Linked DNA regions of Canis lupus familiaris. The protein of the gene in region 2 purifies or fractionates together with the protein of the main gene of each other region. This does not show direct contact. Links are inferred from orthologs where the notes say so. Each region holds a gene or a part of one and is shown on either strand. Other genes may lie near its edges.

What was found.
Region 1: the proteins of STK25 (region 2) and PPP2R1B purify together in Homo sapiens (affinity purification with mass spectrometry; 3 studies listed by BioGRID and IntAct, with this or other methods). This does not show direct contact. The link is inferred for Canis lupus familiaris from reciprocal best matches to the Homo sapiens genes STK25 and PPP2R1B.

What each region holds. Positions count from the first base shown.
Region 1 is NC_049226.1:21,363,828-21,367,483, reverse strand, and holds part of PPP2R1B (serine/threonine-protein phosphatase 2A 65 kDa regulatory subunit A beta isoform), read right to left. Parts: intron 418-3,656; coding exon 262-417; intron 53-261; coding exon 1-52. UniProt on the Homo sapiens protein: The PR65 subunit of protein phosphatase 2A serves as a scaffolding molecule to coordinate the assembly of the catalytic subunit and a variable regulatory B subunit.
Region 2 is NC_049246.1:51,483,134-51,486,482, forward strand, and holds the end of STK25 (serine/threonine-protein kinase 25), read right to left. Parts: coding exon 3,291-3,349; intron 3,097-3,290; coding exon 2,951-3,096; intron 2,770-2,950; coding exon 2,655-2,769; intron 2,492-2,654; coding exon 2,420-2,491; intron 2,177-2,419; exon of another isoform or gene 1,227-2,176; coding exon 1,090-1,226; exon of another isoform or gene 968-1,089; coding exon 928-967; 3' UTR 547-927; downstream 1-546. Other genes in the region: FARP2 (FERM, ARHGEF and pleckstrin domain-containing protein 2), read left to right, coding at 90-159. UniProt on the Homo sapiens protein: Oxidant stress-activated serine/threonine kinase that may play a role in the response to environmental stress.

The DNA.
Region 1 (3,656 bases), on a different chromosome or scaffold from region 2:
AGGCAGGGATGAGGTCGTGTAGGGTGATTTTAGGGCCCACAGCTTTCTGGAGCTAGAAGACAATTTGTACAGGTTTTAATGTAAACTAACAAGTTAACTAACATGAATGAAACAAAACAGTGTAACCTTCAAGTACGTTCTTGCTACAAGCACTTCCAATTCAGAAGAATTAATTCAGAAACTTTTGGTACACAGCAAATCTGTGGGTTTCAAGATTTTTTTTCTCTTAGTACTTAAAAAACGTCAGGACAGTAATTTTACCTCTGAAAACTTATCAGCTACCATGTAGCGGACCCTCCAAGATTTATCTTCTGCTGCTTGCCGAAGCGTAGGCATCACCAAAGACTCGAGGTCCTCCTGAGACAGTAACTGAGCAATGCTGACACAGGCTTCCACAGCTAGGAGACGCACTGAATCCTACAGGAAGAAAATTTCTTTCTGTTGGGACACCTGGGTGGCTCAGTGGTTGAGCGTCTGCCTTTGGCTCAAGGCGTGATCCCGGGATCGAATCGAGTCTCCCATCGGGCTTCCTGTGAAAAGTCTGCTTCTCCCTCTACCTAGGTCTCTGCTTCTCTCTGTGTCTCTCATGAATAAATAAAATCTCTTACAAAAGAAATTTCTTTCTGTTAATCAGACAAGACTGAGGCAGAGCCACAGGGCAGTAGAGCATGCGTGGCACAGGGCAGTGCTATGGGTGTCCTTCAAAAGAAACGAAACAAAACACTCTACACAGCTTCATGTCTTTATGTCTTGAAACAGACTTTGCATAACAAATCCATAGACGTAGAAACAACCTTGTTCTAGTGTGAAAGTAAGGTGATTCCCTTGGTTAGAGTGCAAAATTTTTATTAAGGAAAATGAAATAAAAATGTAAAAATTAAATTTAAAAAAAAGAACATTTTAATGATATCTTCAAGGCCTTCCTATAATAAACTGTTGAGGGATTAAAAAAAAATGACAACTATACTTGAGCAAACTATTCAACACCTCACAAGAAAAACAAGAGAATAAGGGTAAGGGACAGGAAGCTAAGTTGTCAAAATTCTCCATTTGCACTGGCAGTGATAGTAGGCATGACATGATGACTTGGAAAGAAATACACAGAAAAACAAAATAGTAATTTAAAAAAAAAAAAAAAAAACCCACCATCCACTGGATTTCAATGTTAAGAATCAGGGACAGAATAACTGAGGTAGCCAAGCCTAGAAAAATTCAGCAAAACAAATTTAGAAATGTATAAGATGAATGAACTCAATGTCCTAAATATAAACTGCCAAGTTTCAATGTGATGCCTATGTGTCCCTGAGCAAGTAGAAATACTCAATTAGACAAATCAATGAAGAATTATGAATTGAGATTAAAGCTTTAGGAATCATAAATATGTAAGTAGAAGCTAAAAATACGTCAAGATAAGCACCCAAGAGAGACAGACCAAAACCTTGAACAGCATGTGTCTATATATGATTATGTATTTTTTATGTACAACATACACATACATCTACACAAGAGAGATAGTGACTCAACTTTCCAAAATATTACAAATTTTTTAAATTGCTGGTCAACAATAATTTACTATATGCCCAGAACACTCACTCCTCTATCCAAATGAATAAGCCAAAAAAGGCTAGAACTTGGTTCTTGGTAGTAACTATACAAATATTTTTGGAATCCAAAAACAATGTTAAATCAAGGGACTACTATGATCTATGGAAATATATACTAATAAATATTTGTTAATCCCTTTTCCCCTCTATACCTGCTCCTCCTCCCAAAATCTTCTCCATCTCAGCACCACCATCCAGACAGTATGGGCTCAAGCCAAAAATCAAGGTCTCCTTGATTGCTCTTCCCCTCATCCCACGCAATCCCACTGTAATCCTAATGATGCTACCTCTAAATCTGCCTCTAGATTCTCTGCGCCTTCACTGTACCACCCTTGTTCATCATGGCGTCTTGTCTGAATTATTGCAGAAGTCTCCTAACTGGTCTTTCTATTTGTAATCTCACCCTTACCCCTTACAATTCGGCTTTCACTCAGAAGCCAGAATATTATTTTTAAAATGTAAACTAGGACCCCTGTGATATGTCCCCTATCTTATCCAACCTCATAGCCTACCAGAGTCTCTATCACCCACTATGTTCCAAGGCTAGGTGTCCTCTCCTGGAATTCTCTTTTCCTGGAGCTCTGGCTTTCTAGGAAAGGGCATGGCTGGCATTTTCTTCTGTGTCTCAGTTTATATTACCTTCTCAGAGTCCTTCTCTAACCAGTCTAGCTAGATGAATGCCCTATAATCATTCCATATTACATCATCCTACTTTATTTTCATCATAGCCTTTATCGTTGTTAATGCTTTTTTTTTTTATCTGTTTACTATCTGTTTTCCTTCATCAAAATGTACACTCCATGACAGAAGGGCCTTTGTATCCCGGCACCACAACAGTGCCTAATATGTAGCAGATACTCAATAAATATTTTTTCAATGAATGAATAAGCCGGGAACAGCAATTCTATCAGTGTCAGATGGAATATACATACACATAATTTGACAACTAGGCACTTAGTATTTTTTCTAATATATCACAACTAGAAATTATATGTCTCTTAACAAAAAATACAATCCCACATATGAAGTGGTCTTAACACCCAAAAATATCAAATCTAAATCTTATTAAGCCTCTAGATCAGAGATGGGACAAACACTGCCTAAATCCAGGACTGTAGCTACCTTATGTAAATAAAGTGTTATGGGAACATGATGCCCATTAGTTTACACATTATAGTGCTTTTGTGTTACAAGAGCAGAGTTGAGTAGTTACAACAGAAACTGGTCCACAAAGCTAAAAATATTTACTACCTGGCTTTTTATAGAAAAAGTTTGCAAACCCTCCTCCCCCATACTAGATGCAACTATCAATTTGCAGGAAATACAGAGGACAAAGGAAATATTAAATTATACCATGAGAAGCATAATCAACAAATTCCTAAACGAAGATTCTAAACCTATGCTGTCCAATGTGGTAACCACAACCCCACATGTGGCTTCTGAGTAAATGAAGTATGGTTAGTGTCACATGTTCAAGTGAGGATTATTTTGGAAATATTGGGTTAAGTAAAATGAATTATTAAAATTAATTTCCCACTGTTTACTTTTTAAAATGTGACTACTAGAAAACTTAAAATGAAGTTTAACTTAAAATTAACCTACAATGTTTAAGTAAAAACATTACAAAGAGAAGCAGGAGGTGGTTACCAGGAAAGTCAAGATAAAGTATTATCCGAAGCAGGCAGAGTGTGACTATGTTTGGGAGGGAGCTTGTGGTGGGCTTCTAGGGTAGTGGCTCTCCAAGTTCCGTTTGCTAATAAGATGACTTTATCTTATTCATTGAATTGTATATTTTGTACTCTTTTCTGTTATTTTAATAACATTTTTAAATTATTTTGAAAGCAAAATTTACCATCTCTCAATCTTGAATCTGAAAATGACACTCATCAGTACGTATCTGGTGCTCCTGGTCCTATACATGTGAAGTGATTCTAGGGTACACACTAGGCAAATTAAGACTCTAAAAGGATTCTTCTAGAGTCCAGAAACTCTGGGGGCTGATTCCTCTGAACCACAAAGGGAAACAGTACAGCCTGGCTGTGAAGACTGTAA
Region 2 (3,349 bases):
AGAAACTGGCAGCTGGCCACTGGCCGCCCAGCGCGTCCCCGACTCCACGTGAGCGCCTCGGGAGCTCTGACGTCCGACCCCTTCCCCAGGTGGATGGAGGTGATCGAGCGCGCCAGTAGCTCGCCTGCGCGGGCCGGGCCTTCCGAGGCAGCAGCATGAAGCCCGTCCTGCCCGACGAGGACCCAGACGAGCAAGCAGAGCGGGGTCAGCGCGTCCCTGACTGCGTGTCCTAAGGGCCACGGAGGCACCGGCCAGGGAGTGTCCGAGCCACGCCCTCCCCTCTCCCGGGGCGGCGCCCGCGGAGGACAGACAACAGGAGCCATGCGGTGCCGGCCGCACCCCGCGGGCCTCTCAGTTCTGGCTCCCCAGGGTTTCCTAATAAACTGACGTAAACGGACACACACACTGTTATTTGTTTGCTAACGGCCGGCTGTGCAGCCCGAGACAGGGCTCCTCCCCGCCCTCCTGCCCGCGGGCCACGCGGTCGCTGCGGGCCACGACGAGGACTCAAGCCAGGAACTGGGCCCCACCCGCCGCCAGCATCGCTCCGATTCAGGTCTTTATTGAAGGTGGCAGGAGCCTCTCCATGTTCTATGAAAACACCTCAACCTCAGAACGTCGGGGAAGCGAGAAGTCCGTTTTCTTTAAAAAAAAAAAAAAAAAAGTCCTGGCTGATCCGAGTACTTAGGAGGAGACACGGTACCTGATTGACACAAGGCAAACCTACGGCCAGCACGGCCGCCGCGGGCCCGGGGGACAGATGGGCCCGACAGCCTCCGCTGCTCCGTCCGGCGGTGGCTCCCCTGACGCTGTGCTGCAGGAGGCAGGGGTGGCCGAGCGCAGGAGCGGGGACTGGGGCCGAGGCAGCCGGACCGCGGAGCTCCACGCCAGCCCCTCCTCCCGGCTCTCCTCAGGCAGCGGCAGGCCTCAGCGGGTTGACGTCAGGTGGTTTCTGTTGTGGGAAAACCTGCGGAGAGGACGGAGGCCTGGAGAGTTGGCCGGGTGGGAGGCAGCCGGCGTGGGGGTCCGGGCGCCACTCCCTGAGCCCGGCCTCTGGGGACGGACCCCCACGGCCGCCCCAGGCCTCACCTCTGCACGCGCTCCACCAGGTGCGCCATCAGCTTGTCCGAGATGCCAGGACAGGACTCCTCCGCCAGGCTGAAGGCATTCTCCAGCTCTTCCAGTGCCCCCACGCCCCCGCCGCTCTGCTTGTGCTTCTCCTTGAGCTGCAAAGACAGCACCCGCCTCCCGTGAGCTCCGCCCACGGGCCCTCGCCGCCACGTGCATGTGCTGCATGTGCAGGAGCCCAGGCGCCAGGGGCCCTAACAGCCCTCCCACCACAAAGCTGGGCTGGCCGAGTCCCACCTGTCCCCATGGCAGGGCGGCCTGTTAGTGGCGGGCCGGGCCACCCAGGCTTCCTCCCAACTGCGGGCCGCAGAGGCCACGGCGGAGGTCCGCTGCTCGAGAAACCCTCCCAGAAGCCCTGAGGTCCCCACAGCCAGGTCAGGCTCGGCCTCCCCACCACCCGGGCCTCGAGAAGCCCACGGAGGGTCCATGCCCTCCAGCTGACCTGACAGGTAGCAGTCAGGTCAAGCCCGTGTCACACTCCAGAAACAAAAGGGGAAAGAGCCTGTGCATCTCCAGGAGGCCCCTAGGACGCCCCCCAGCAGCCTCAACTGCAGGCCCAGCCCACAGAGGCCACAGCGGGTGCACCCGACAAGCGGGATGAAGCCATCCCCCCACCTGTCCCAGAGCATCCTGGCGTGGGCACCTGCCCCAGGCCATTGAAGCACACAGCTGAGCCCCCTGACAGTCCAGCTCGTCACCTGCTCCCCTCTGACCTCCTCCCTCGCCCCACAGGCCCCCAGAGGTGGGAGCTCTCCTGCCTGAACCCAGATCCCCCCACCCCGTGTCTCGGAAAGGCACTCAGTGTCCCATCTTCCCTCCTGGGGCTCCAGGGGCTGCCATCACCTGGGGTGGGGAGTGCGGGCACCTGGCTACATTGTATTCCTGGGGCGTCAGCAAGCACCCATCAGCAGGGGGCACGTAGGGGAGTCACCCTCGGGGCCTCCCCGCCCTGGGCCTGATACCCAACTCCAAGAACTCAACCTCCCAGGCTCCCTAAACAGGACCATCCCGTGTGTCTGCAATTCAAAATAAAAGGTCACAAAACACAGTTTTTGTTCAGTCATCCTGAGACCCCCACCGGCCCCCAGGAGGCTGAGCACTCGGGGTGGTCGCAACCCCTTCTGCTCCCTTGCTCAGAAGGCCTGGCCCCCAGATCCCGGCCTGACCACCGTGGGCCCCGAGGGGTGCTGGCCGGCGCACGTCACCGTGACCCTTGAGGGGACACCGAGGGGAGTACCTGCAGAGAAGCACCACTGCCCTCTGCCCCGGCGACCCCCACGCCGGCCCTCACCTCTCCGAAGACAGGCCGGACCAGCGTGGACAGGCACTGGGACCTCGGCTGCCTCTTGACAGGCTCCGCGGACTGTGAAGTCAAAGCCACGGCAGGGTGGGCAGGGGAGAGGGCAGAGCGCGCCCAGGCGGCAGGCGTGCTCCCTCCCCACCTGTGCCCCCTGTGGAAGCACACACGCCAGGGTGCCTGCCACCCCCCGAACGCAGCCCCCCCACCTCCCCGCGCCAGGTCAGACCTTCTGGGGGCCGTGCAGGGCCGTCCCCTTGTGCAGCTTGCTGTGGGGGCTTGGCCGGATGGTGGGGGGGAACGTCCAGATGGGACCTTGCTCCCCGTCCTCGGCATCTGCATCGCTACGGTGGAAGGTGAAGGGCCGTGAGGGCCACGGGGCTGGGACCGGGGGAGCCCGAGGCCCACACCCGCTCAGCCTGCGTCTCGGAGGCAACCTCATGGCCCTCAGCCAAGGAGGCCCGCCTGGTGCCCACGGCACAACGCCCAGGGCTGCGGGGGCGCGCCCGCCGTAGGGGCCCCTACATGTCAGAGTCCTCGGAGCTCGACTCCTCGCCGTGCCCCTCCGACTTCCAGCGCTTGTAGCGGTCGATGAGCTCGGTGAGGAAGGAGGTCTTCCTGGTGTAGCGCGTGATGAACTTGTGCTTCAGGAGCTCCTTGGCGGTGGGCCGCTGCCGGGGAGAGGATGCGGTCACCAGGCGCCAGGGACGGCCGCACCCGCTGCTCCCGGGGCCCTTCCCCCGCGACCGTGCTCCACGTGCAGGCCCCACGCCCTGTGAGGCGGGGCTCGGGGAACCCCGTGGGGCTGTCCCCTGGAGCCCCGCCGCAGAGCCGCCTCCCAGCCGGCCCAGGGAGCAGGGCTTACGAATCGAGGGTCTTTGTTGAGACAGGCTTCCACGAACTCCTTGAAGGGCTTGCTGTGGT